2 linked regions of the Saccharomyces cerevisiae S288C genome follow. The protein of the gene in region 2 binds, or shares a complex with, the protein of the main gene of each other region. Each region holds a gene or a part of one and is shown on either strand. Other genes may lie near its edges. The genes, in order: RPA49 and RPO26.

What was found.
Region 1: RPO26 (region 2) and RPA49 share a complex: the UniProt entries of both Saccharomyces cerevisiae proteins name them as parts of the RNA polymerase I (Pol I) complex.

The regions. Positions count from the first base shown.
Region 1 is NC_001146.8:180,825-184,548, forward strand, and holds RPA49 (DNA-directed RNA polymerase I subunit RPA49), read right to left. Parts: upstream 1,785-3,724; coding exon 537-1,784; downstream 1-536. Other genes in the region: MPA43 (Mpa43p), read right to left, coding at 1-198; CRS1 (cysteine--tRNA ligase), read left to right, coding at 2,051-3,724. UniProt on the Saccharomyces cerevisiae protein: DNA-dependent RNA polymerases catalyze the transcription of DNA into RNA using the four ribonucleoside triphosphates as substrates. Component of RNA polymerase I (Pol I) which synthesizes ribosomal RNA precursors.
Region 2 is NC_001148.4:909,488-912,547, forward strand, and holds RPO26 (DNA-directed RNA polymerase core subunit RPO26), read left to right. Parts: upstream 1-1,769; coding exon 1,770-1,789; intron 1,790-1,865; coding exon 1,866-2,313; downstream 2,314-3,060. Other genes in the region: PZF1 (Pzf1p), read right to left, coding at 246-1,535; MLC2 (Mlc2p), read right to left, coding at 2,501-2,992. UniProt on the Saccharomyces cerevisiae protein: DNA-dependent RNA polymerases catalyze the transcription of DNA into RNA using the four ribonucleoside triphosphates as substrates.

The sequences.
Region 1 (3,724 bases), on a different chromosome or scaffold from region 2:
AAGACACTTTTGAAGGGCTTTAATTATTTCAGTTGATTTTTGCCAGAATTTCCATGACTTCTTTGAAGAATCCTGGTAGTATGGGACTGGTTCCTGCGCCATTTCTAACAGCGCATCATTGTAGTAATTATATACACCTATTCTAGCACTTGATGAACCTACATCAATTCCGATGCCAACTTGCAGACTGCTATTCATGATTTCACCTATATAACACGTTGGTTTCTCATTTAAAGTTACCTTTATTGAAAAAAATAAACTGATACATTTTTAAATTTCAGCTTACTAAGGTGCTAGAAAGCCGAACTACGCTATGAATTAATATTGAATTTATTGCGAAGTTTAAAATTATTGTAAAATATCTATTTGTACATATGTATCTTCTCAGAAAAAATAGCGTATATCTATGTAGTTATTTTTGTTTTTCTCTTCCTCTCATCAGGAGGACCGTCTTATATTTTGCTGCTTTATAGAACCATCTAGCAAAAAAAAAAACCAGAGCAAACCAAATGCTCAGTATATACCTCTAGGTAACTCTAACGTCTTGGACCTCTTCCTCTTCTTGTCATTTCAGGTAGCTTAAATGGAACTTTCATAGTGGCAATTTTATAAGAAGCTGCAGTACTTTTTGGAATGCCAAAAGCCTCAGCTTGAGCCACTGTGGCACCTTTGACAATAGCACCAAGTACCCTGAACAAACTGACAACTTTGGAAGGTTTCAAGTTCAATTCGTGTGCTAAGGGTGTGATTTCAACAATGAAGTTATCCAAATGCATTATGATTGCCAAGATGTAGCATAAGATTTTATCTTCATTTTGTGGGTCAATGAAATAGGAGCGATCCTTTGATCTTCCAAACTGTCCAGGCTTTATCACGGTAAATCTGCTTAAGATACCATCTACCAAGATTTCAGGAGGACTGTTCAACCTTTCTAACAACTTCGTCTTGTTATTCACGCGTCTATTTTCGTATACGCCCAGTAATAGTGATAAGTAGTATAGTAGCTGTAATTTGGTCATTTGTGAAGGTTGTGTCAAAGAGTCCAATTTCTTTGCCACATACTTGGAATTGTTTTGGTATGGGAACAATTCCAACTTCTTTTCCTTATCCGCTTCTTTCAGAATTGATGAAACGCGAATAAACTGTAATTCCTTCTTTGGTATTATACTTTCAATTGGGTAAATTTGTTCTACATCAGTGGCATCGATATTGGCTAATGGAGTAGGTCTATCGTTGGAAGTAATTTCATCCAATTGAGCCCGAGTTGGTAAATCCTTAGATGCAGTTCTCACGGAATCCACAATGTCAATAGCAGAATCAGTCAACTTATCAGAGTCAATACGGTTTCTTTCTAGATCTGCAATAGCTTTTTTAGCCTTTTTAGTACCAAACGCTTCACCCAACGCATTTCTCAAAGCAGATGGACGAGTATCACTCTTACTTTTTATTTTTGGACCCCTTAGATTCTTGCTTGACTTGGATACAACTTTGGAAACAAGTACGGGAGCCTTGTAGAGTTGAATACTTTTCTTTTCTGGATTAAATAGGCCCACAACATACTGGTTCGAAGCTTGGGAAGAAGAATCAGTATAACCTTCGTATTCTAGTCTCTCGTTTTCACCGTGTAATACGAATTCGTCCTTTTCAGACTTCTTTTTTTTGTATAAGTCGAACGTAGTGTCACTGGGAGCACGGAAGCCCTTGAAGAAACTTCCCACGGCAACAGAGGGTTGATCTTGAACACTTTCAATTTCGATTTCAGAAACAGACCTTTTCACGGACATTACTAGATAAAGTGCAAAAGGTTGATAACGACTGCAATAGTGGTAGCAACTTAAAAAGCCCTCCTAATATCATTAGTGTTCATGCAAGAATACTTACTATTAAAAATGAGATGGAAAATTTCAGCTCATCGCAATAAAAAATTTTCAGCGCGGGTGACCGCAAACATTTTTCATCGCGAAGAGTCAAAAGACATTATCAATTGAAAAGAACAGTATTGCTAATTGGCGTCGGTGATTAGGTGTCCGGTCAAGTTCTTATTCTATGCATGAATATCTTCATAAAAGCCCTGAGAAGATATACTATAATGTCTACGCCGAAGATTGTGCAGCCCAAATGGAAGGTTCCAACGCCACAAGCTAAAGAAACTGTGTTGAAGTTGTACAACAGTTTAACAAGATCTAAGGTTGAATTCATTCCGCAATCTGGCAATAGAGGTGTCACTTGGTACTCTTGCGGTCCTACTGTTTACGATGCCTCCCATATGGGTCATGCCAGAAACTATGTCTCTATTGATATCAATAGAAGAATTATTCAAGATTATTTTGGTTACGACGTGCAATTTGTGCAAAATGTTACTGATATCGACGATAAAATTATTTTGAGAGCTAGACAAAACTATTTATTTGACAATTTTGTCAAAGAAAATGATACCAAATTCAACGCCACTGTTGTTGACAAGGTCAAAACCGCACTTTTCCAATATATCAACAAAAATTTTACTATTCAAGGCAGCGAGATCAAAACTATCGAAGAATTTGAAACTTGGTTATCGAATGCTGATACTGAAACTTTAAAATTGGAGAATCCTAAATTCCCTATGCATGTCACCGCAGTTCAAAATGCTATTGAATCAATCACTAAGGGCGATTCCATGGACGCAGAAGTTGCCTTTGAAAAAGTCAAGGACGTTACGGTTCCTCTATTGGATAAAGAATTGGGCTCTACCATTAGCAATCCAGAGATTTTCCGCCAACTTCCAGCTTACTGGGAACAGAAATTCAATGATGACATGTTATCATTAAACGTGCTACCTCCCACCGTTACAACTCGTGTTTCTGAGTACGTTCCAGAAATTATTGACTTTGTTCAAAAAATTATTGATAATGGTTACGCATATGCCACTTCCGACGGTTCCGTGTACTTTGATACTTTAAAATTTGACAAATCCCCAAATCATGACTATGCTAAATGCCAGCCATGGAATAAGGGCCAGTTAGACTTAATTAATGATGGTGAAGGGTCCTTAAGCAACTTTGCTGATAACGGAAAAAAGTCGAATAATGATTTTGCTTTATGGAAGGCTTCCAAGGCAGGTGAACCTGAGTGGGAATCACCATGGGGTAAGGGTAGACCAGGATGGCATATTGAATGTTCTGTGATGGCCAGTGATATCCTAGGCTCTAACATCGATATTCATTCAGGTGGCATCGATTTGGCCTTTCCTCACCATGATAACGAATTGGCTCAATCCGAGGCTCGCTTCGACAATCAACAGTGGATCAACTATTTCTTACATACGGGCCATTTACATATTGAGGGTCAAAAAATGTCTAAATCCTTAAAGAATTTCATTACCATTCAAGAAGCTTTGAAAAAATTCTCACCGCGCCAATTAAGATTGGCTTTTGCCTCAGTACAATGGAACAATCAATTGGATTTCAAGGAATCTTTGATCCATGAAGTAAAGTCATTTGAAAACTCCATGAACAATTTTTTTAAGACTATTAGAGCATTGAAGAACGATGCAGCTTCTGCAGGTCATATCTCTAAAAAGTTTAGTCCCTTAGAGAAAGAATTATTGGCTGATTTTGTTGAAAGTGAATCGAAAGTCCATTCGGCGTTCTGTGATAATTTATCCACACCTGTTGCTTTGAAGACACTGAGCGAATTAGTGACCAAGTCAAACACATACATTACCACTGCAGGTGCTGCTTTAAAA
Region 2 (3,060 bases):
AAGGTGAAATAGATATGCAAGAAAAGAAAAAAAAATACAATACTAGTAAACTGAAATAAAAAAGATTAGCCATAATGGATTTGTTTCTCTTTGTTATCGATATTCTTACCTCTTGAAGATCCATGTGTCTATCATTTGAATTGAATATATAATTATATACAGTGAGATATACCAATTGCAGTAACAAAATGGCAAATATGTATATCAGTAATATAATTAGCATATAAAATAAAAAAAAAAAATGCTTATTTGTCACCCGCTGACTGCGTTTCCTTTTGAATTATAAAAGGTTCCTTATGGTTCTGGTCCACTAGCGTTTTATTTTCTTCCTTTTCCTGTAATATTTTTAACTTTAGCTCATGTACTTTGTGCTTGTCTATATGTTTCTCGTATTTTTCCTTTGTCTTGAAAGTCCTAGAACAATTATTGTAAAAGCATCTGTATTTTCTTCCAACGGTATTCAATAAAAGGTTTAGCCCATTTTCACCAGACTCAAGTCGCTTTTCTAAATCCACTTCATTCTGTAAAAACTCTACATTATTGTTTTCGGTAAGTTTTCTCCTTTTCCTCAACCTATTGGAAATCTTCTCTTCATCCTGCTCATTCGAGTGTTTGCTATTCCCCAGTTGAACTCCGTGGTCTTGGACAAGTTGTTGAATATCAGAAATTTTATATTTTAGTTCCAGTGGGATATCTTCTTCCGTATGAATAGACCCATAATGCGTGAGAAGATCATGTTTTCTAGAAAAAGACATATCAGGACATATATGACACTTCCAATTTTTGGTTACTAGTGAGTCGTCATGAATAATCATGTGCATTTGTAAACCATTTTCCCCCACACATGGTTTGCTACAAATAGGACATTTTAATTTAGGATGATCATTTTTTATATGCGATTGCAATTGTGACCATATCCGAAACTCTTTGCAACAACCAGCAAAAGTACATTGGTAAGGATTTTCTACCTCAGGATCGTGATGTTTAGAAATGTGATTTCTTAGCCTATATGGCCTCTGAAAGCTTTTATTGCAGTGTGGACAGGTTAGTTTATGTAAATGAACAGATAAAATATGTGCCCTTAATTGTGGATGCTTGTAGAATCGGAGGTTGCATCCTTCCTCTGGACAAATGAAAGATTTGGTATGCGTTACTTCGTGTCGCTTCAGTTGCTGGCGAGTCGTCACTCCTTTTCCACAATAAGAACATTGGAATGGTTTCGTATCAGAATGCGTATACAAGTGTCTCTCTAAGTGACTCTTTTTAACGAAGGATTTTGCACACTTATCACACTGAAATGCTCTTAAACCCTGATGTACGCTTAATTGGTGTTCAGTCAAAATTGAAGGTCTTGTAAATGCCTTATCACAGCCATCATAGTCACAGAAATATGTCTTTGGCCTATTGCTCGATGAGCTTCTAGTTGATGTTAAACTGTTCAATGATTCTGAACTCTCTGATCGTGATATGGGAATGGTCTCCTGTTTAAGTTCGGCCAGTGGCATTCCTTCATTATTTAGAACCTCTCCTCCCATTTGACAGCGATTTCAACAGTTACTACTGTGCTTAATGCCCTTATTTGATAGTTAGTTCTTCTTATAATAAATAATCATTGTATATTGATTATTCGTATAGTATGATATTTAATTGAAAAAAAAATTTTTTTTTTTTTAAGAATATCATTCAAAGGCATCAATCACAACCTTGAAGAAAGGCTAAAAAGACACATTTTGCAGGTAACAGTGTAAAGATTAAGGCTACAAGTGATCATGTCAGACTACGAGGAGGCGTATGTGCATTCATATTGGAGAAATTGCGTGCTTTAGTTTTAATTATATTTACTAACTTCTATCATTGTGATACAGGTTTAACGACGGTAATGAGAACTTCGAAGATTTTGATGTAGAGCATTTTTCTGATGAGGAGACTTATGAGGAAAAACCTCAATTCAAGGATGGTGAAACAACCGATGCCAACGGTAAGACCATCGTTACTGGTGGTAATGGCCCAGAAGATTTTCAACAGCATGAGCAAATAAGAAGAAAGACACTTAAGGAAAAGGCCATCCCAAAAGACCAAAGAGCAACTACTCCATACATGACCAAATATGAAAGGGCAAGAATTTTAGGTACAAGAGCCCTACAAATTTCCATGAATGCGCCAGTTTTTGTAGATTTAGAAGGTGAAACTGATCCATTGCGTATTGCCATGAAGGAGTTGGCTGAAAAGAAAATTCCTTTGGTTATTAGAAGATATTTACCAGATGGTTCCTTTGAGGACTGGAGTGTGGAGGAACTCATTGTGGATTTGTGATTACACCTGCATTTTCCTTTATGTGTATTTGCTTTGTTTGTATATTATTATAACTATAAAGAACGATTTATTTTGTAATGCAAATAACTGGACGAGAGAACCACGCTATAACCTATTTGGTAATAAAAATGTTTGTATGAATAAAAAAGCTGCTGACTGCTTTCTTTGATATGTGTATATAGAATATTTAATCGGTGATTGAATCTAAGAAAAGCTTACCTCTGAAAGTTCTCTCTTCGGTCGCTTGCTGATTTGTAGTAAACAATTTGAAAAGTTTAGCAAATTCTTCCTCAGGATTTTCAAAACCGGCTTCCTTTAAAGAATCAATGACCTCATTCAAGGGAACGTTTAAATCGTGTCCTCTTCCAATGGCTTTTAAACTTTCTTCCAATTCTTCACGCTCGGGAAACTGCGATAAGTTCTTCCCCATGATAGATAAGAATATGGGAAAGCTTACACCTTCTTCTCCAACTTCCGCGGTACTGGTGTCATTGTCAGGTACCATTTTGGACCATTCCTCATCTGTCAATGTCTTCCCCAATGTTGCATATATCTTGGTAAGATCTCCCCTACTAATCAGACCATCCTCATCCTCATCCAGCATTTGGAAAGCATCTTTGAGTTTATTTATGTAGTCCTGCGTAAGTTGGTTAAACGTTAGCGATTCACTATGGTCCATATCTACTTCAAGTTTGCTCAATAAACGATTCGAAATTACTCTTTTCTTAGCTGTGCATTGTATAGTTT